Linked DNA regions of Struthio camelus. The protein of the gene in region 1 interacts with the protein of each later gene in a pairwise test. Links are inferred from orthologs where the notes say so. Each region holds a gene or a part of one and is shown in the gene's direction. Other genes may lie near its edges.

Region 1 (11,240 bases):
CACGGGGCCATCTTCTCTGTACCCCTGGGTGGACACTGGTCCCTCTGCAGGCTCCAGCTCAGCTTTTCAAGGGTGCTTCTTGTCCTTTCCCAGCTGCTAGTCCAAATGGCTGAGAAACATCTCTTGCTGCAGGCTGTGTCCTTGCTTTTCTCCCCACTGGGACAGCAGGGAAAGGGCCTCTGTCTCAGCTGCTCAGAGCTGGGAATCGGTGCCACTGGCTGGCTTTTCACAGCATCCTTTAATGCTGCCTCTTCCTCCCAGAGCAAGTGCCACTCATCTTGAAAATGTCACGCATGGCTGTGATGCTATAGCTCAGAGCGGGGATAGGGGGGCTCTCCCCCCACGCCATTTTCCACCTGTCTCCTGGCCTCCATTCAAGGACCCGACAGGCACCCAAGAGCCCCAGCTGCTTGTCCGCGGCGTTAGGAGCCAGGCCTCAGTTGTTCGGATCGGCTTGGGGTCCCCTCATCCGGAGCTGCCACCTGTTTGCTGGCAAGACACAGCTCGTGCAAGGATGCTGCAGTGCTCGCTCATCATGTCGCGGCTATGGCAGTGTGTCTCTGTGCAGTGACATGGCAATGACTTGAGCGGAGGCACCAGCCGTTTAAAGGCGCCGGCCTGCCTGGATCGTTATGGGCCTCATCTCATCGCAGCGCAAGTGCAAAAGGGTTAAGTTCTTCTGGGCAATGCTGCTCCTTCTGAGGTTGGACGGCCTCATTTTTCTCCCTGTTTTCCAGAGGGAAGAACGGAGGCACAGAGTGATGATGGACCAGATTGCTGCCCCTGGCATGCTTTTTGGTCAAAGGGTCTCTGAGTGGAGGAGGATGATGTGGTGAAATTAAGCTCCTCCTAACACAGATAGCAACTGTAAGCCAGACGCACCAGCTTGCAGAGGGCAGATGGACCGGAGATGGGACATTAGCCAATGGAGCTGCAGCCCATGGATATACTCAACCTCCCTAGGTACCATGAGCTTCCTTGGGCTGCATCCCTGCTCCAGGAGCAGCAGGGCCCTCCCTTGCTGCGGTGAGCCGAGAAGAAATGCACCGAGGGCTTTGAGGCCTCGGTGTTGCAGAGACGGGTACCCAAAGTCATCTGAGCCTCCATCTCATATGGAGATCACTGCCCTGAACGTGGCCATCCTTGGAGCATGCCGGGGGAGGACAGCTGGGGAAAGGGCAGGAGGCTGAGAGCATGGAGGGAGCCCGGCAGCTCAAGTCTTTCTCGTTATGGGTTAATGCCCAAGCACCAACCTTCCTCTGGACACTGATCTTTAGTGAGGGACGTGACCCTGCAATGTGATCCTGGATCCCCAATCCCCGAGGCTGCCTTGATCCTCTCTGTACTTTGGGGGTTTATTCTTCCCTTTCCATTAATCTCTGAATATTAGGTGGAAAGTGAACAATTACTGTGCTAATGGCTCCATAAACTCCTTCATTACTTATTAAACTCGAGCACTCCTCGCTCAGCTGAGAAAAAGAGATGAAATGGCGAAGAAAAGGGCTCCGAGGGTGGCAGGAGGGGCTGCGCCAGGGCAGAAGGCCCAAGCTCATCAGAGCAGGCTCTGGCCAGGGCTGCAGGTGGAGGGGCCGGATCAGGCCCCAGCAATTAGTGGGCTGCCGCTGCCCTCTGCCGGCAACGGGGCTTGGGCCTGGGGGCTGCCTGCCTGACCCTGCTGGGGTAGGAGAGGGGTTAGCCCCGGGACAGGCTGCAGCCTGAGATTGGGGCTGCGATGAGGTCCTGGGAGCAGGAGACTGGGGAGTCCGGGGGTGGAGGGAGGGGAAGGGAGGCAGCCACCTCCGACGGTCTGAGATCCTCTGCTGGGGGACCCAGGTGGTGCTGGCAGAGTGGGATGCTGACAAGGATGCTCGCAAAAAAGGTATGTGGGAGGGAAGGGGTGAAGGGACCGCCTTGCCTGGGGAACTGCTGCAAAAGTCATCCCTAGAGCCTTTGGGATGGTGCTGAACTGAGCGTGAGCAGGGAGGAAGGGAGCCTGGCTTTAGCTACCGGTTAACTCAAGCAGAGTCACTCCTGATTGACCTCGGTGTGAAGCGCAAGGACGCTGATCCCTGATCTGCACAGGGATGTGCTCCTGGTACCCAGAAGAACAAACAGGCAGCGGGACCAGTTCGTGCCTGACCCCTCCAGGACAAGCGAGGGATAAAACCCAGAGAAATTCCTGGTGGTTGACACTGCATGTCTAGAGGGACTGTCACCATGTGAGTGTAATAGGAGAAGAGCTGATCCAGGAGACCAGACTGGCTGAGGACTCTTGAATTCAACCCAGTCCTCTGACACTGCCTCCCGGTGAGAGTGCCGGCACGTCCCAGCCACCTCTTGCTCAGCTGCAGAAAGAAACCGGCTCCCTCCCTGCTTTCCTCGAGGTGCTGGGAGCTGCCTTGCGGATCGCTGCCAAACCTCACCAGGATCCCGCAGGGTGGATGTTCTCCAGCTTTTTCTGCTTGCGAGTGCTAGATCCGGGCCATTGCAGAGATCGCTGCGAGAATTGCAGTGACTAACCAGGGGAAGCTTTCGCCTCCCCTGCGCAGCGTTCAGGTCAGAGTGCAAGACAGCTCACTTCTGAGCCGGCAGCTCGCGTCCCTGGAGCGCTCTTGTGGCCTCGCCTAAGTGAAGCTAATGTATTTTGATGTCTCTAATGGCCAGCTGGGACGCAAGTGCTCCTCCAGGAAGAAAGTTAGCCTGCTTGAATACCAAACTGCGGAGGCCAAACAAACACCTCCCCGGTTGAGGCGCTCACAAGTCTTTTGCCAGTGTCAATCAGTGGCACTCGGAGCTGGTTTGGGATCGAGGCAAGGAGCCCTCTTTGCCTCTCCTCCTAGGTCAAGTTGACCTGTTCCTCTAAGATCTTCTCAATCCAGACTTTGAAAAGGAGACATATAGTTAAACTGCTAGAGAAAGGCTTTTGCAGAAAACGGCAAGTTTCTTTGGTTCTGCAACATGCAAGTATTACCCAGGATCAGGCCAAGTCCTCAAAGGTACTTGCATGCCCAACTCCCATTGACACCAAATGTAATTAGATGCTTATATCTAGGCCATGGGCTCAAGGGCCATCTGGCACCTTAATTATTTATACACATATATAAACACAGACAGTACTCTTTATCTAGTCTGGGCCTGGGGGGAGATTCCTGCTCACGCTGTATTCTTTCTCATGGCCTGACAAAACGTGCTCTTTTCCAGGGCTCTTTTCAGGTGCTGCGTTTCCTTTCTCCAGTGCCAAAACCCGCTCTGAAATGCCTCAGTCCTGCCGAACTGTCAGTGACCAGTTGCCTGTTGCAGAGATCTATCTCTGACCGCGGCTGACGCAGCGGCGGAAGAATCCAGGAGAAGATTCCCCCCTTTGAAGGAGCAGATTGGAAGAAGGGCTGAAATCAGATTAAATGACAGACAGATGTCCCTTTGGTGATGTGTCCTATTGCTCACCCAAGGTGTCTTTTAAACTATGAGTCATCAGCCGAGGAATTTTAATTTCTGTGTTTCACACACAAACTGAGGCACCACAAGGAAGTGGTTAGGACCTTGGCAGAGTCTGGGGAGTTACAAGTCTTTATCATTAACTGTTTAACGTGACGCTTTTCCTCTCAAGCCAGTGGAACGGTTCCAGTTTTTACCAGATGTAACCTCAAAGATGAAGCTGAAATAAGGTAAGGTAGGTTTCCTCCCGTTTTCATCTCGCCTCCAAAAAAGGCTGGCCAAGGAGCGAGGCTCCTTGGTGCCTCTGTGATTCTCCGACGGAAACCACAGGAAACCCAGAGGGAGAGCTGGCTGCGAGGGGTATTTGCACTGGCTGTGGATGCATCTGATGCACACCGACGTGGTGGGATTTTTTTTTTTTGGTTGTTTTAACTGGGAGCTTCTGCTCCCCGAAGCAGGTTGCGGCCAGGTCGCCCTTCTAAACTGATCCCACCCTGAGCTCCAGCAACCTCTCCGACAGCCCTGGCATTGGAACTGAGACGTTGCTGCAAAATGTTAACACCCAGATGGAATAGCATTTTATTTTTTTCTAAGGGGAGGGAAAAAGAAACCCCGCCAGAGCACTTTCACTCGGTTGTGTCTTCCCAGGAAAGCAGCTTGAATCAGACACGAGCAGTGGTTGCAATAAGCCCGTTTGGCAGAGTCGTGGATGATGCTGTGTTTCTAAGACACCCGGTACCGCTCTGCGCCTGTGACTCTAGGCCTCTTTGGCATTCCTTCGGATCGCTGTTATCTGGGTGATCCGCAGCCACATAATTGTATCTGTCTTCCATATACTTTCAGGATAATTATATCCACATGAGCCAAGCAGGCCCGTCTCGGATACGCATGTTAGGTTAACTCCCTGTCGTTGCATGGGAGAATCTCATTTTCAGGAGCCCGACATATATTTCAAACACAATTTTTCTCATTCCTCGGTCTATATTTAGAGAGCAGCTATTTACCCACCATTTAAAACCCACCCACGGTTTCAGGAACTGCTGTGTACCATCTCTGTCAGAAAGCGATGATATGACAGGGAGAAATGCAGTCTAATGGCCTGCTATTAAAAAATCAGATTCAATTCCCCTTCTGTTGGATTAAGCTGCTCCTGGGGAGCTCTCTTGTTTCCACGGGTGACACGGAGATGCGGGGACTTTTCAGACAGTAAACGTGGCTCGGGGGGGCCGTAGCAGTGCCGGGTTAAACCAAGTTCTTCCGAGCGCGCTTGCAGGTTTGCGTTTTTCTCGGACGTTTCCGAATTTCCAAACCGAGCATTTTGAGGGCAGCCAAAAGAAAGGAATCGAAACGCCGCGGGGCTGCGGAGGGGGTGCGAACTTCGGGTTGGGGGGCGGGCGGCCGCAGGGCCAGCGGGAGGCAGGGGTAGCTCTTCCCTTGGGGGCGGCAGGGCCCGCCGCCCTACGCCTTTCTCCCCCCGGGGAATCTGAGTCTTTATTTCCGACGCAGAGGCCAAGGGGAGGCTCGGGCGGGAGCGGGAGGTGTCCAGGCCCACGCGGTGTCACGCAGCGAGCGGGAGCCCGGTCAGCGGGGTTAGAGCCGCTTCGGTTGGACGGTGACTGGAATTCCCTTAATATAAATAACGTCTTCTGTGACAGAAAAATTGTAAATGTGGGAATACTGGCTGGTCCGGCTTTTCTTTCTTTTTGTGCTTTCCTTTTGGCCCCCGCGCCCCAGCCGTTGACGCACCGCCCGGCCTGAGGAAAGCAGAAGAGACCAGCGCCCCTCCCCCCACCGCGCGCCCCGGCCCGGCGCGCTCTGAGCTCGCCCCAGCAGCCGCACGGCGAACGCTCCTGGGGAACCACCCCCTCCCTCGCTGCAACCAATCAGAGTCAGAGCAAGCGTGACTGACCGCTTCCTTACCCTATCCGCAAGCTACGCGGCTGCACCCAATCAGATGCCTGGGGAGATTTTCTCGCCCAATCATAAACGAAGGGTGAAGCTTGGGTAGCAGCCCGCGCTTCTTCGGGAGAGGCATAGGCTTCAGCCTATCAGAGCAGCAAAGGAAAGGTTACCAGTGGCCAATGAGGACAGAGGGCGGGGTTAATACAGCTCGCGAGAATTTGAGAGGGACGATGGGAGCCCGCGTCTCAGCCAGCGAACCAATGGGAAGCGGCGAGGAGGGGCCACAGCCAGGACCGTTGCAAGTGGCAGGCCGGCGAGCCAATCGGAAAGACGAGTTGAGCTAGCCCAATGGCCAAAGAGCGGGGGCGGTCCCCTACCGTGGAACGGTTATGATTGACATGGCAGCCCGACCAATGAGAAGGCCGTTCTCGTTCTAACCGTCCACTAAGCAAACGGGGCGGGAAGAAGTGCGAGCGGGGCGGCTCCTTCCGCGCCCTCCTCCCGCAGCGCGCGAGGCCGGCCCGGAGAAAGACAGCTCGCTCGGCCAATCGGAATGGGCACAGAGGGGGGAACGGGCGGGTCTTCCGCCAGCCAGCCCTGGCAGCGCGAGCGCCCGCCGCGCGCGGAGGGGGCGGGGGGTGGGGGTGACGCGCGCGCCGGCCAACGAGGGCGGCGGGCCCGCGTTAAGCGGCCAATGGGCGCCGGGGGGGCGGGGCTCGTAGCCGCGGCGGCTTCCAAGATGGCGGCGGGTGCGTGAGCGCGGCGGGTCAGTCAGTCAGTGAGGCCGGCGGCGGGGAGCAGGGCCGGGCGGGGGGCGCCGCGGGGCCGGCCGCCATGAAGGGCAAGGAGCGCTCGCCGGCTAAAGCCAAGCGGTCGCGGGGCGGCGGCGGCGGCGAGGACTCGGCGTCCTCCTCCTCGTCGGCGCGGGGCGAGCGGAGCGGCAAGAAGCCGAGCGGCTCCGGCGGCTCCAACGGCAGCGGCGGGAAAGCGGCGGCGGCGGCGGCCTCCACCGAGAGCAACAGCGGGAGCAGCCGGCGCGGCCCGCACCCGGACAAGGCCGGCCGCGCCGGCAGCCGCGAGTACGAGGCCGGGGCGGCGGCGGCGGGCGGCGGCGGGGGCAGCCGGCACGGCTACAGCAGCAGCAGCAAAGCGGCGGAGCCATCGCGGAGCAGCAGCAGCCGCGGCGGCGGGGGTGAGTCCCGGGTGCCGGCGGCGGCCCCGTCCTCCTCCTCCTCCTCCTCCGAGCCGGGTGCCGGCGGGGAGTACAAGACGCTGAAGATCAGCGAGCTGGGCTCGGCGCTGAGCGACGAGGCGGTGGAGGACGGGCTCTTCCACGAGTTCAAGCGCTTCGGCGACGTGAGCGTCAAAATCAGCCGCCTCCCGCCGGGCACCGGGGCCCCCGACGAGCGCGTGGCCTTCGTCAACTTCCGCCGGCCCGAGGATGCCCGCGCCGCCAAACACGCCCGCGGCCGCCTCGTCCTCTACGACCGCCCGCTCAAAATCGAGGCTGTCTACGTCGGGGGTGGCGGAGGGAGCAGCCGGCGGCGCAGCAGCCGCTCCCCGGCGCTGCTGGACAAGGAGTCCCCCTACGGCACGACGGCCGTGGGAGTGGCGGCCGCGGCAGCCGCCGCTGTGCGGCACCCCCCGGCTGGGGCAACGCAGCGGGCCTTGTCGCCCGCCAGTAGCGGAGGAGCCCTGGGTTATCGAGACTACCGGCTGCAGCAGCTCGCCCTGGGCCGCTTGCCGCCTCCGCCCCCTCTGCCCAGGGAATTGGAGAGGGAGAGGGACTACGGAGGTTTCTACGAAGCGCGAGTGCGGCCGGCCTATGGGCTGGAGCGCGTGGCCGGTGTGGCGGCTGCCGGGGGCTTCCGCGGAGGAGGAGGGGGTGCCGGAGCAGCCGGTGAGGAGGAGATCAGCCCCGAGGACGACCAGAGAGCCAACCGCACGTTGTTTCTGGGCAACCTGGACATCACCGTGAGCGAGTCTGATTTACGCCGAGCCTTTGACCGTTTTGGGGTCATCACTGAGGTGGACATCAAAAGGCCAGGCCGTGGGCAGACCAGCACATACGGTTTTCTTAAATTTGAAAATCTGGACATGGCGCACCGGGCCAAGTTGGCCATGTCAGGAAAGGTGCTTCTACGCAACCCCATCAAGATTGGGTATGGTAAAGCCACTCCAACTACCAGGCTCTGGGTGGGCGGCCTTGGGCCCTGGGTGCCCCTTGCTGCCCTGGCCAGGGAATTTGACCGTTTTGGCACCATTCGCACTATTGATTACCGCAAAGGGGATTCGTGGGCCTATATCCAGTATGAGAGCTTGGACGCGGCACAGGCAGCGTGCACCCATATGCGTGGCTTTCCCTTGGGTGGGCCGGATCGCCGACTCCGCGTAGACTTTGCTGACACTGAGCATCGGTACCAGCAGCCCTACCTGCAGCCTCTGCCGTTGCCACCTCCTGCTCATTATGAGCTAGTGGCAGAGGCTGCTGCATTTGGGGCTCACCGGGGGGCCCCGCCAGATCCTCTTCGGGGGGCTCGGGACAGGACACCACCGTTGCTTTATAGAGACCGCGACAGAGACCTTTATTCTGAGACAGAGTGGGTGCCTCCGCCACCCCCTGTGCGGGATAGGAGTAATCGGGCAGCTGCCTATGACCCACTGGAAAGCCTAGATCGCCGTCGGGATGGTTGGTCCTTGGAGCGGGACCGGGGGGAGAGGGAGTTGGGCACTAGCAGTAGGGATCAGCCTAGGAAACGGAGACTGGCGGAGGATGGAGGCCGGCACTTGGACCGTTCTCCGGACAGTGAGCGCTCTTCTTCGTCCCGAAAGCGTCACTGTTTAGCCACAACCTCTCCCCCAGACCGCAGCCCTGAGCTTGTCGGAGGGCGGGAGCGCTATAGTAGTGACCCAGAACGCTCTTCCTCCCGTTTGCTCCTGTTGGAGCGGCCCTCGCCTATCCGGGAATCGCGCAGGGGAAGCCTAGAGCGAGGCCAGAATGAAAAACGCGACCGCAAGAATTCCGCTGAAAGAGAGCGGAAGCATCGCGCTTCTGCAGCAGCTGCTGCGCAGGAGTGCAAAAGTCCAGCCAAAAAGGATGAACGCGCTACGGAAGGAGGCGGTGGAGGGTCGCGGCTCAAACCTCCGCCTCAGAAGCAGCAGCAGGATGGAACGTCGCAGGCCGGGGGAGCCCCCAAGTTGTGCTTGGCTTGGCAGGGGATGCTTCTGCTGAAGAACAGCAACTTCCCGTCCAATATGCACCTGCTTCAGGGGGACCTCAGCGTTGCCAGCAGTCTCCTCGTGGAGGGAGCAACTGGGGGTAAAGTAGGTCAGCTCAAGATCACACAACGTCTTCGTCTGGACCAGCCCAAGCTAGACGAGGTCACTCGTCGCATCAAGGTGGCAGGTCCCAATGGGTATGCCATCCTTTTGGCTGTGCCTGGCACATCAGACAACCGCTCCTCATCTGGAGCTAGCGAGGCTGCCACCACCTCCACCCAGAGGCCGCTCAGGAATCTGGTGTCCTATCTAAAGCAAAAGCAGGCTGCTGGGGTGATCAGCCTCCCTGTGGGGGGCAACAAAGACAAGGAGAACAGCGGGGTCCTGCACGCCTTTCCACCCTGCGACTTCTCCCAGCAATTCCTGGACTCCACGGCCAAGGCGCTGGCCAAATCAGAGGACGACTATCTGGTCATGATCATTGTCCGTGGGGCATCCTAAGGCCCTTGTGTTCTGTACCCAACCCTGCCTACTCCTCCACACAGCCCCTCCAGCGTGTGCCAGGTGCTATGGGATACAGCCTTAGCCAGCCCTGTCATTATTTTAAATTAGATCTTTGTTTGTAGGTAACTTTCCCTGCCCGTTTTTCTGTTACTACATTTTTCTATAAAGTTAGAAGCCAGAAAGGTTGGTTAGCCATTAGTGTGAATAGGATATTGTGAGAATCCCTTCTCAGTGGGGATAGCAGGGAAGCTAGGCCTGCTTTGATTTACAAAAGAAAAGAGCAAGAGCTGGGGGGGGGGGTGGGGAACCAACAAACTCCCGCCTTTTTAATTTTGATTCGTGTCCTTTTTTCATTTCATATATTTTTAAAGCAAATTCAATAGCTTGTCCTCTAGAGTTACAAACCTAAAAGACCAGATTTAAAGCACTCGGTAGTTTAAATGGAAAACCACACACTTAACAGTGGACTGGTGTCAACTCATTTTTGAGTCATTGAAATTCTGTGAAGGCCTCAGGCCAGCAGCCCTTTGGCCTGACTGATCCCTTTCATCAGGAGCCTGAATGGTTTCCCTTTGAGTTGCATGGCTCAAGGTTGATTTCTTTCAGGTGGCTAGCACCTGCTCTTGGGTACACTGCAGAACATTAATTCCTTTATTGGGTCTTTGATAATTTCAGCCAGTCCACCAAAATGCATGCACTGAAAGGATGCTTTTTAACAGGTGTATTTCTCCTATTCCTCTGAGTTCTATTGTATCCCATGTATGCACTTTGGGTTTGTAGCAGTGACAATGTTTGGTGAATAGCTGAGGACTTTGTTACAAACCATGAATGTCTTGTGCTTACTCTCGTATGCAAGAAACAAGGAGGTGCTTTAAGAATAACTTTAGTTAATATTGTGGTTTTTTGTTTTTACTGCCTTTTTCAAAGAGTTGCAGGTACAGTGGGGTCTGGTTCCACAGTGCAAACTCTAAGCAAGTATGCGTCTCTCCAGAGATGGCTTTTAATTCTGTAATAATTTAATTACATAAAAGTTCTCATTATCATTTTACCTCTTTGTTAATAGCAAGAAACTGCTGTCTGCTAGAGACTTTTCAGGTACAGTACAGGGGGCATTACATGAGGTTTTTTTAGTCATCTGGACTAAAGTGTTTTAGCATCTTGAAGAGGTATTAGAAGTACCCCAAAGTGCTGTGATTTGATCTGTTGTTTATGATTCTATGAGGAAACGTTTACCTTTTTCAAAGAACTTGGTTCACTTTCTCTTGTGCTTTCCCCCCCTCAGTGGGCACTTTTCTCCAGTTACCTTGGACACCTTGCTAATACAGGCATTTATGAGGGAAGAAGGGATCTAAATCCCTGTTGTTCTGTTTTACAACTGAAAGGGGGTTGCAGCTAGCTTCTAAACCGAAGTGTAAATCTGACTATATCTACTTACACTTTAGAGGCCCTAAAATGTAATCTTGCACTTAAAACCAGAATGTAATCTTGCACTTAGCCGCGTTTTCAGAAACCTGGGCAATATAAAAGCGATGCTGCTTTGCTCAGTAGATCTTCCAGGATCTTCCTGGACAAGTGTTACAGGGCTGAGGGACAAGTTAATTTCTATTTCAACTTATGTGACAAAAAAATTCAAGCTCAAAATGCGGACTAGGTTGCTAATAGTATGTGAAGGAGGAGATGTCTTGAATGTATTTTATAGACACAACAATCGCTTTTCAGGTGTGACTATGCTTGCTTTAGATTCGCTATCGCCGACATAGGAAATTCTGCAATATTGCTTTCCATAGTCACTCTTCAGAGGAGTGCTCCAGTTCAAATGAGGTTTGATATCCTTTTTTCATTTTTTTTTTGACAAAAATGAGTAGATGTAACCCAGCCATTGTGGTGAACTTAAACGTGGCAGAATATCCTCAAAACAGGTTTTAGTGTTATAGCTACTTTTATTTCTGTATGGAAACGTATAAGCCTCATCTAATGCTCTTAAATGTTTGCGGGCGAAATCCAGGATTTCTGGATTGTTGTCCTTCAATGTGAATGTAACAGATATAGATGGCAGAATTCAGCTGTTCACCTTACTATTAACAATGAGAATTTTTGGAAATGACACCAATAATGCAAATAACTCTCTGTATGTTGTAGAAATACAGCATATTTACCACTTACTGCAAAGAATGTCTGTT
Region 2 (11,705 bases), on another chromosome or scaffold:
GTTTTGGAAGTCAAATTCTGATGTTGGCTGTAGTGAAATGACATTGATTTAGAACAGATGAAAATCTGACCTTCAGCATTTCCTTTGAATAGTGATACTTTGGTTTTTAGGAAATAGCCTAAGTTGCTTAATGATAATTTTTCCGATTTATCTTTGTTCAGAACTGCTAATATGCAGGAGATATATGGCAGCGAAGGCTGGGCTGGCATGCTTAAGCAGATGCAGTTGAAATGTAGTATAGCAGCCATTCATTGGCTAAGATTATAGACTTTTTTTGGTTGCTGTTCAGATGTTTTCTGCCATTAGGCTCTGACCACACTTCCAAATGATGGAGCCAGTGTGTTTGCTCTCTCTCTCAGTGGCATATTTCAGCGTTACAGAGGGACACTGCCTGGTCATGCAAGACTAAGCTTGTAAGCAGTGAATTTCTTTCCCTACTGCTTCTAGTGAAAGCAGGGAGAAAAGCTGCACGGGGAGGAGAGAGTACTTCTTAGCTCCTCTTCATATTTCGCCTTAACTTGACGGTTATTAAAGTTAAGAGTAGTTTGTGGTATTTCAATCACCGCCACCTTCCTTCTGTGATATGCTCATTGATGTGATTCTAGTCACAGGTGTTTTCTTAGCCTTTCCTAATACAAGAAGCCAAAGGCAGTGTCACACCAGGCATAAAATAATACAGGAGCTAGTACTGTCAACCTTGAGGAAACAAAGGGCACGTGAATGGATTAAGAAAACCCAGATGCACATCTCTCTTGCGGAGATTTGATTTTCAAGGATCCTTCTAAAATGGTATTGAAATATTTACTCCAGGTGCTGTCAGTAGCATGAAAAGGTTCTGTCTTTTCTTACAATCACAAAAGTAAATCAGTAAATCAAGGTGACCTGTGAGTTGGCAGGACACAGCTAGTCTGTTAGGAACGTAAAGCTAATTCAGGCATATGCATGCTACATAGTGGCCACTGCTGTGACTACAGTATAGACATATATATCATGTATTTAAATCTTAGAGCATTGCAGAAAGTATTAATGGAACAAGCTCTTGCATTCCTCTCCTCTTCCACTCCTGTTCCTGATGAGTTTAAGCGTGAGGAATTTATTTACGTGCAAACTGAGTCAGAAAGAGGGGCATGTATCTTTTCAAGGCCTGTCACAGAATCTGCATTAATAAATCTGTCTCCGGCCAGCTAAGAGCACACGGACCTCTAATTCTTCCTTTTTATTAGATTCTGAGCAAATGCCAAGGCTATAGATCCAAAAGCACCTGAAACATTACAAAATCGGAGAAACAGATGTTGATCAAAATGCATTTGCTAGGCAATATAAATTTATGTAGCCTTTGAAGGAAGTCCTACCGGACTTAGGTGTTCATGCAGTCAAATGATAAATGCAACATGAATGTAAAAAATGCCAGTCTGGAATCAGATGGGCAAATTATGTCAGTGCAGTTGTGATGCCAGCCTCTGCCGTTCATGTTCACATCACAACTACACAAAATGTTCTAGCACAGCAGCAGTATTAGATAAGTACATTGTTCAGAAGATGCTCACTTAAAACAGTGTCATTTTGTGTCACCATGCAGAAGTTTCTGCCTGCATCACTAGTGCGTCTCACATATTCTGTCTGCCTCCGGAAAATGAGCGTAATAGGTATTTCCTACCCAGATGGACCTTACCTTGTTTATTTGTTAACGTAAACAGAGTTATAAAATGAGGTGGAGTCAACCCAGTGTGAATTAGAAATATGTTGGAGGATTACAGAAGGCATTTTAGATCAGAGTTAGTGTAATACAGACAAGATTTCTGTGAGGAAAACTTGGTTCTGTTCCCAGTTTTTTTTCTTTTCTCATTGCTCTATATAAAGACCTCACATGTGCAGATTGTAATTGCTGTGGCGAAAGGATGCTGAATTATATAATGTCTCTACCAATGTTCCTGTTTTCTAACTGCTAGAGTTCCTCATTTGGGAAGACAACAAAATATTAGGCACTTGATCCCATTTACATGTTTATAAAGTTCTTTCATGAAAAACAGTGACATAGGTCTGCAGGCAGGATTAGGCTTTTACAAAAATTTGCACACAGGATCAGACGTTTACTTCTTTGATAGTGTGATCAGCGACAAAAGATGGATTTGAATGTGTAAAATGCCAGCAGTACCAAAAATAGGTCCATATTTATCCCTGTCGTAGCTCCACTTAGGTTAATGGAGTTGTGCCAAGGCCGACTATGCCCACAGCCTATATAGGACAGCTAGCCTTCTGGCAGGAGGGAAGCTTGACAAGACTGCTTTTGTAGGAACAATTAAACCTTCTGATATTGGCAGTACCTAGTGACGTTTTAGGAACATTTAACTGGACTTGAAATTATTATCTTGGAGCTTTCAGATATATCTATCATGCCTGAAAGACAAAGAAAGCATTAATAAAGGTGTCTTCAAGCATGGAATGAGTTTAGTTCCATCAGCAGTTCTGAGTTATCAGGCCGGTTAGCAAGGTTTTAATTTACAATAAGAATTGTATGTATTTTTTCACTTGCACTAGTGTAACATTTGGCTTCATTGTGGATGGATATTAAATAAGGTTTGAAAGAAAGGTCTGATTCTCTGATCCTCCGTATGCATTTCATAATGCTTTTTGTTTTACTTGAAACATCCATGTGCAATCCATGTAGGCATTTTCTTTCTACTTGGATTTGGAGATCCTGTTCTATTGTTATGTGATAGTGTCTCAGCAATGAAAGCAGCTTCAATGGTTTGAGTTCTGGAAACAGTATATATTTCATCTAGTTTGTTGTTTTTCATTCTGTTTACTGGTCGTGTTTTGGAAAATGTGCTGGCTTGCCTGTAAGCTCTTGAACTACAAAGTACTCAAATAGTTTCCACAATGTGTTAAGGCCTCTAGCTCGTTTGAGTCTGCTCACTAAAACTTCAAGGATATTAAGCTAGTTCTCAAGACCAGAGTCTTGGCACTTCAGGTGATGCTATGGGGTACTAAGTAGGCACAATCTGAATCCTGAGCAGTGGCATCTCCTGATTTTAGAAATATCCATATCACTACTCCCCTGCACCCTGCAAAGTAAAATGCCTGTTTTATAGCATTTTTCTCCTCCACATCCCCTCAGCCAGGGAGTAGGTGGATGCTTGCTGGACCACAGGTGTGTAAGGGGGAAAGAGGGAAGATATAATTATTCAAGCCAAGATCTAGTCAAACATAAAGCTGCAAGGGGATGTTCCCCTAGTGAGGCTCATCTGATACTTGTGGCAGGAATGATGATGCTCTTGCTTTCTGTTTAGATAGTTAATATTATTTTCTCATCTTAAAGCTAACTGAGGTATAGATATTTGATTCAAAAAGGAGAAAACTCGTTGGACTTCTTGAAGAGGATAAGGAAGTTAGGTTCGCAGATGTCATTGACTGTCAAAGAAAAGTAATTTCTTTTGAAAATCTGAGCTTTAGAAACAGGTATAGTTCATAAATCCAATTATAAATAATAACTAATAATTTCTAAAGATGGACCAAAATTCATGTTGTCCATCTTTGCAAATATAGCTTGTATCTTGACGTATTAATAATTTATGACCTCATGTTATGGCTGTACTCCCACTGCATTTTAGTGGCATTATACTGTAGTGTTTGGAGAGATAGAACAAAGCATGGATAACATGAAGAAAAAAAAAAAGTACTAGGTGGCAATGGATTATTAATATAAAATTTTGCCCCTAGATAATGACTTTTTATTGACCCCATAAGGGAAAGGCACAGTAATTCTAGGCCACTCTTCAGCAGTGTATCAAGAATTCACAGTAAATCTTGGGTCCACATTGCTGATTCAGCAAAACAGCTGGCAGGAGCATAGTCTGCGGGTATTCAGAAAACAACTCTCTCATTTTAGAAAACAGGACCACATACCAAGAAATAGAGAAAGCAGTCTCCTCCAGCTAGGATATTCAATTGACCATCTTAAAAGGATGAGCTTCAATAATTATTAAAGTAACAATGAAAGGAATAATTGTCACTTACTCAAATTAACTTTGTATTTGTTTTGGTATCCTGTCACCTAGCCAGTTTTCCAAGATACAAACAGAGTAACAAAACCTGGCAAGTTCTGTGTATCTGGTATTGGTGGCCTGAACCTAATAAAAGATGTAAGTGAAGAACAGAAAATAAAGCTGTCAGTTAGATCTTCTAATAGCTTTTAAATATTGTTATATTTTATTACAGATCTAAGATTAGCCTTGTTTTCGGACTTGGATCTTTTTCAAGGTTTTCTTTCAGTCCAACCTTTTTTTAGCTATCAAGGCTAAGTTTTTCAGCACTGAACAATAGAAATAGTATCATAGCATTTTACACATTTCTGCTCCCCTAACTACCAGTCCTTTTATATGGTAAATGTGACTTTGTCAGGTTGTTTGGCTTTGAAATTTTCTTCATAGTAGTTTATAAACAGACTGTGCATCATGCTATGCCAATGGAATAAACATTGGAGTATCTATCTCAATGAGATGGATGGATGGAGGATGAGCAGTTTGTAATCTGAGATTAGTGGATAAAAGAGACTAGAGTGAAAATACAGTTACTCATAAAAAAAAAAAAAAAACTTCTCAGAGTTAATGCAAAGCAGTCTGCAGAGTTGGTATATGTGAAAGCAGGAGTGCCAAAAAATCCTCCAGCAATGACAACAAAACCCCTAGTTAACGTGTGGACTTCACATAAAGTGGAGGAACTTTAATTATGGAATCAGTGGGCAGTGCTAAGCAGGAGACGTGGCAGACTGCAGTGAGGATAGTATGTCCAGGCTTTATTTTTTGTTTTGAATAATCTAGTTAATGGGAGACATCCAAAAAAACTCATAAACACCCCCTCCCCCCCCCCCAAAAAAAAAAACCAACCCATAGTACAGCTAATGTGTTCTGAAACGGAGGTTTCTGTTTGTGGAGAGGGAACTTCTTTTACATTGAAACGTTGAGGAAGAACAGTGCTTTGCAATCAACAGAGCACGCACTCTCACTTTAATTTGCAGTACTGCTGCTGCCTCACTGTGTAACCCTGGATAAGTCATTTAAGATGACATCCACAGAAAGATTCAGCATGCAGGTCTCATGTGATTTCCAATTTAGCTGCCTAAATCCTAAAATGCTATCCTAATCCTGCTGCCTAATCCTGGAGATACCTACAGTCCAGAAATGCCTCAGTTTTCTATCTGAAAAGGTCTCAGGTGTAAAAACCTCCCTATTTTTTCATATTAAAAACTACCAAAACACATGAGGGTGTCGGATAGCCAGGACCCAGCTCCCCCATGAAAAGGGTTGCTAAGCATGGTTCAGTCAACATGATCTGAGAAGTTTAATTTGGTATGTTTGCTGGGAGCAATGCTGATGGCCTTGGCTGTGTGCAGTAGTGGGCTTGTGCTTCCTCTGTCCTGCCAAGTAGCTCAGTGGCTTAACACTCGTCCAGGATGTACTTCAAGGATAGGTTCACTGCTTCTCTCTGCTTGCTGGGATCCCTCCTATCGCTACCCTCCTGCTGGTTTTGTACTGATTCGGTCCAATCTTAGGCAAAGGGGCAGGTACGAACATAAAAGTGAAGGAAGTGCCACTAGTCAAAGGTAATGCAACATGCAGGGTTGTGATGAGGATTTAAAAGAAACCTTTCTTTTCAATGTCTTGTGTTGGCTTTGTGAATCTTGTTCTGAGGCACCTGACTGTGTATGCAATGCAAGAAGCCTACAGGGTAACTCAGGGCCTTTGGCTGTCGTTACAGGCTGTCTGAAAATGAGGCACTGTGACACTGTATATCATGGTGCTAAAATTCCTGATGAGTCCTAAACTATCTCTCAGTGCCTTGAATTTCCATGCTTATAATCCTTCCCTGTCTAGGACGGTGTACTGTGGGCAGAAACAGGGATATGTAGAGCTAAAAAATGTGCAATATTTAGCTAGAACGAGGGATCTGGGGGCTGTAATGAATCATGCTATCAGCAGAGCAACATGGGGAGGAACCTGTGACTCGCATCGCTGGGTTGCGCTGAAGGATTCCTAAATGCAAAGTGCCAAGTGCTGTTATAATTGGGTTAGATTGCTCAGTGCTTATTCAAATTCCTGTTGATACTGGCAGTGGGAGTTTTCCTGAATAAAAGCTGAACAATGAGTCATCTCCAGGTGTTTTGATTTGAAAATGCTTTTTTCGAAACTGGTAAGAAACTCCCTGTGTGCAGCCTCTAAAGCATCTTCCCCGTTGGAGCAGCTCCGCCGTGAGCACTGCAGCACAGCTTGCACAGACCGGGCTTTGTACTTTGGCACCGTCATGGAGTTTCCTGCCAGTCAGAGGAGTTGAAGCCACTCCTCTCTTGCGGAGAGATTTTGTTTCTGATTTGAGTCGGGAGGACCAATCCGGGGGCCGCCCTGTTTTTACGGTGCTGTCAGATTGCAACCTTCTCCTGCTCCGGCTAATCTCCCTAGCCTTCTTTGGTGTTGGCACAGCAGGCTGCCTTTAACACGCACAATGTGCTAGCCGTTCAGTGCTGAAACCTGTTTCAGTGCGGGTGTTTAAAATGAGGTGGTGGCTGCTTTCCCTTCTGTTTGACAGCTGAATTTTTTCTCCAGGTTTTCATGATCAGCACTGGGGGATCCAGGAAATTTTGTCACCACTGGCGTATTTTTATTTAAACTGTCGTCAGTGGACGTTTCTCCTTCTGCTGCAGCATCATTGTTGTCCTGTTCACAGATATTAAGACTTAAGAAGCTTGATTCTCTAAGGCTCATATCCAAGGGCATCAGTCATTAACACACTGAGCTACATCTGCTTCTTGGCTAAGACTGAAGAAAGACATCTTAAGCTGGAAATCCTGGTGCTTGCTCACTCGCTCGCTCTCTAGTGCATACAGAACAGGAGGCATATGCAGCAGCAGGTTCTTTTTTTTTATTCCAAAAGGCTGCCTCACTTTGGAGATGCAGTGACAAGATAATGGAGTAAAAGTCTCCCATTTCCAGGGAAGAAAATTACAGGAGTCAGCCAGTGAAAGGAAGGAGCAAGTTAAATAGCAGCAGGAATAGGAGAGTAAAGGAAGGAGGACAGTGGTGAAGAACTGAAAATAAAATTAGAGGAAACAGGTGGAAGGCTGACACAAAGCTGGGAGATATCTTAGGCTACAACTGTCTTTTTTTTTCCTTTTCTTTTCTTTTTTTTTTTTTTATTCTAAGCTGATATTGAAGATCCCTGCCATAAACCAGGCTGTTTCAGTACAGCAGCTTCCCAGACGTGTCCTTTTCTCTCTCCCTGCCTGCTGTTTCTACTATTGCTGCTGCTGACAGAAACGTGTTAGGAAAGCAGAAAGAGAAAATGCCAGCCATCCTGGTAGCCTCCAAAATGAAATCGGGACTACCTAAACCCGTACACAGTGCTGCTCCAATCCTGCATGTCCCAACGACAAGGACCATCCCACAACCCTGCTACCTGAAGTTTGGGAACAAGGTGGAGGTGACCAAGCCCTCGTATTCCAGCCAGATTCCTCTCAAATCTCCTAATGGACAAGAAAATGCAGGAGATGGACTCCTACCAAGGAAGAGTAGCTCGGTAGAAAATGGATTTGACACACAGGTTAGAAAACACCAAAATTTTGGGGAGGTGTATGGGGGAATTTATGTATTGTATGTGTTTTCTGAGGTAGGTAGCAGTGGTGCGAGTAGAGGTAAGAGCAAGGTGTGTATGCATGTAATAACATCTGTCTAGGGTGGTGGGATGCTTCATGTTGCACATAGTGGCATGTGTTACCAGGGGGTGATATTTTAATTTTGTTACTGTGGTGGAGCTGACAGTAGGGTTGTGAAGGATGGTGCTGTGTGTGCTCTTTCTCTGTGCTGCCTTGTATACTGGCTGTGCTTGAACTTGCGAGGTTTATTTGAGGGAGAAGGGAGAGAGACTGTTTATGGGGTGTGCTCTTTGTGCTCTTTCTGTAGGTGCTGATGGTAATGGCTGGTTTCTCTATCTGTGGTGTGGAAAGATCACTGGTTGTAGTGAATTCATTTTGTATTTGGTAGTGTGCTGTATTGGAGTATGAGCATTTTATATTTGAGGTTGTGTGGGGAGCGAGAGGGAGGCAGTATGCTCTATGTTAGATCAGATTACAGTATCATTCTCAGTACAGCTAGATTAGATTATGTAGAAATTAATATGCACGTGGAATTATCTGGTTTTTGTGCTATAAGTGCATGGCATCACAGATGCAGCACATTATGAATATGCATTTTTTAGATTTTACTTCGATGTGTAATAGTTTTGTTTTTTGTTTTGTTTTGTTTTTTACATATGCTGCTTCCTGCACTGAGAGAAGAAATGTACATTCTTCAGCTTGTTTTATTTTTATCAGCATAGTAACCTTTTCAGCATGGCTCAGATTGCCTTGTACTGCTGATGCCCCAGTGTGCTCAACAGCAGTGTAAGCAGATAGTATGTGTTAGCATACTACGATGTGAGCAAAGCAGATGGTCTGCTGCAGCAAGCAGAATTGATTAACGTTATATAAAGGTTGCTGTATAGTAGCGTGATGTATTTTGGAAACAGCCATGTACATTACAAGCTGCTTCTGCAGACATCTGAGCCTGGTAGAAGGTGGTACTGCTATACTGGGATAGGGAAGTGATGTCTGATCTTAATCTTTTTTTCTTTTCCTTCCTCAAAGAATAATGGGTCATCCCTGCCATGTAAATGTTTAAATCTGTGGCCTCACAACCCATTCTCTTAAGAAAAGCGTGACTGCTGATTGGGTGTATCTGGCCCTGTGCCCTGAATTTTAGGATATGCTGCACTTTCTTTGCTGGTAGACAGGGTGACGTCTCAGGCCAGACTGATATGACTGTAGCAGTTCCTGAGGGATTGAAAGCAGAAAAAGGAGACAGGCAAGCATTGGTGTCGGGGTGATGGCAGCAGGCTGACCGACCTGTGCATCGCATCACATGTTCTTAAGAGAGAAACGAGTACTATTTTTCGCTTGTGCTGGAGTCTGTCCTCATCATTATGAAATGTCAGCAAAATCCCATTGTATAGTGCTCTTTCTCTCAGACACGCCTTGGTTTCTGCATAGAAATTTACATTCCTGCATAAGTGATTGTTATTCATAAATACTCTCTCATCTTATAATAGATTTTAATCAGAGAGATCCTGCTAGAGTGGTAGCAGCTTACAACAGAAAGGGGAATAGTGGTTTTTTTTAACACTTACACACATGTGGAACAAAGCACATTTTGTATATACTGATGTTAAAAGAGTCTTCATGCTAATTTATTATAGTTAAACAAGAAGCAATTTTGACTAAAGGAATTTTAGGTAATTTTGGATTTTGAACAACTTCTTACTAAAAGCAGTGGGAGAAATCCTAAGTTTGTCATTCTCAGTAACCTTATTCAAGCAGTAGTCTTAGCAGATGACCAGCACCTTTTAAGGTGTGAACCAGTGAGATTTGTTTTACTCTCCATTGTCTTGGATAAACAGTCCTTTCACGTGGTTCTTATTGATGCAGCTTTGATCCCTCTGCCCACGTGAGCATGCATGGTGTTGCCATTCAAGGTACTAATTTGGGACATTCGTCTATATCTCAAGGGAGGTTTTTTCCAGATCAGTTGCCTCAGGGACACTGTTCTTTCCTTTTTCTCTCTTCCTCCATTAAGGAGGAGGAGGAGTGGGATGGATGGACACCTGCCAGATGGTATGTCAGCAACAGGAACGTTTTTCCCCTAGGAAACCTTCAGCCTACGTTCAGGTATAGAGGTGCTTGCTGATAATAAATCTCCTGAGGTTGAATCCCTAGGACTAAATATCTCAAGAACCATATGCGCATCGTATGGTGATCATGTGCTTCTCTGGATGTTTTATCTGAAGTATCAATATTACTGCCACCATTTTACTATGCAGGCACCTAGCATCCTCTGTGCCCTTGCAAGAGAGTTTAGATCCATAAATCAGACTAACACTGAATGTTTTGGCACCTCTCTTCTGGAGATCTGGATCCCCAAGTGGAATTTGCAGCCCACAGGAAGGACATATATCCTTCTGCATGGGTGGAGCGAGAGGCAGAACGAAGTTCTGATACTCAGAGCAAAAGCCTAAGAGAACAAATAAAAATGAGCAAAATCAATGTATCTCGTGCTGTATTCATTGCCAGGGATGAACCTGGAGTTTGCAGCCCCAAATTCTCTTCCAGAGTTAGAGGCCTAAGCTATTTTTATCAAAAAAATGAGGTGATACCAGACTACTTTCAATACAACCAGAAGAGCAGCATTACTTTTATAGAACTGGTTGGTAGTTAGAGCGCCCAGAGGGTGGGAAATCTGAATTCAGTTTCTATTTCAACATAAGAGAATTCAAACTTCTCTCATATCTCCAGAAACTTTCTTAAATCACCTGGACACAGGCTATTCTGGGACTATTTGGGGGACTTGCTCTCAATCCTGCTGAAGTTGTTTCTCTTTGCACTGTATAATTGAAAATTAATTTGCATGTACAGAATAAGGACAGGGAACAAGTAATTTGACCTAATGTTTAGGACACTTGTGTGCAAGGAAAGAGATAACGTGGGACATGCAAAAGATAGGAAGTATTCATTTACCTTTGTGTGCCTATGAATTTTCCTCCCCCATCATGGTATATATACTCTCATTCTGAATTTTTATATTCCTTTTTCTCTGCACTTAGTTTACTGATTCATTCTAGAGAAGAAGCCATGTCTCTCAGATTGTACGTATTTTGAGCCTGATTTTTCGGAGATCCTGGCCGCTGCAACTGATATTAATTTGAGTAGTAACTTGAAAAAATACTGAAAATCAAGGCATCACACTTGGGAAATGTGGTATCAGTGACAGCTTCTCAATTTGTTTTCTTTGGATATGATTTTACAGGAGTAAATTGGAGTTTATGACAACTGGAAGTGTTGTGCCTTAATGCCATATAAGGGCGATATGTTATTTTAAATGCTCTACAATTTATAAAAGGCATTCTTCAGTGCCTTTCAGAGCCACTTTCCAAAGAAAGGTCTGAGGATTTTAGCATTAAGCCCATTGCGAGTGCTAGTCTGAAATCTTAGGCTGATGAATCATAGCAGTGTTATTCCTATTTTATTGTCATCGATTTACCCGTTTCATTCATTTTTCTATACTAAATTCCCTGTGTTTTGCACAACAGTATCCTACTGTTGCACTGGTACTTAATTCATCCAATTTGAAAACACCGCCAGTAAATTATGCCCATGTTTACAGAGCATTGTTTTGGAAATATTTAACTTTGTTACCAGAGAAACTTCCATCGAATAGATAGCAAGATAGTGATCTCTCATGTACAAAATGGTATTTATTAGTTATTTTAAAAAGTCATTTGTATTTGACTATTAACTTTGCATTAATTATTTAAGACAGAACTAACTCATGGCTGAGCAGAAGTCTTTGGGCAGGGTGAAAGTGTGGGCAGGATGCAAGAGAGAAGGTACTGTTTCAGGAATACAGTCTGTTGCCACGTTATTGTGGAAGCCGCTAAAGGACATCATGGATTCAGTTAACGTGTTCTTTGATGTTACATTATATTCTGTAGCTGCTTCATTTTCCTTCTCTGGAGAACCTAAAAAATAATTACTGCTTGTATCTAAGTAGCTGTAGTAGCCCCACAGGGAAGAACAGGGACCTTAGGAGGTTATTGAACCTGTCCTCCTCCTAAGTTACTCTGAG

Evidence for each region.
Region 2: the proteins of RBM15 (region 1) and NAV2 interact in binary tests that used the Homo sapiens proteins (3 or more experiments, as listed by UniProt). The two-hybrid records come from large-scale screens. The link is inferred for Struthio camelus from reciprocal best matches to the Homo sapiens genes RBM15 and NAV2.

Annotation. Positions count from the first base shown.
Region 1 is NC_090965.1:4,445,192-4,456,431, forward strand, and holds the start of RBM15 (RNA-binding protein 15), read left to right. Parts: upstream 1-6,087; 5' UTR 6,088-6,171; coding exon 6,172-9,057; 3' UTR 9,058-11,240. UniProt on the Homo sapiens protein: RNA-binding protein that acts as a key regulator of N6-methyladenosine (m6A) methylation of RNAs, thereby regulating different processes, such as hematopoietic cell homeostasis, alternative splicing of mRNAs and X chromosome inactivation mediated by Xist RNA.
Region 2 is NC_090946.1:31,808,674-31,820,378, reverse strand, and holds the start of NAV2 (neuron navigator 2), read left to right. Parts: upstream 1-7,232; 5' UTR 7,233-7,335; coding exon 7,336-7,593; intron 7,594-11,705. UniProt on the Homo sapiens protein: Possesses 3' to 5' helicase activity and exonuclease activity. Involved in neuronal development, specifically in the development of different sensory organs.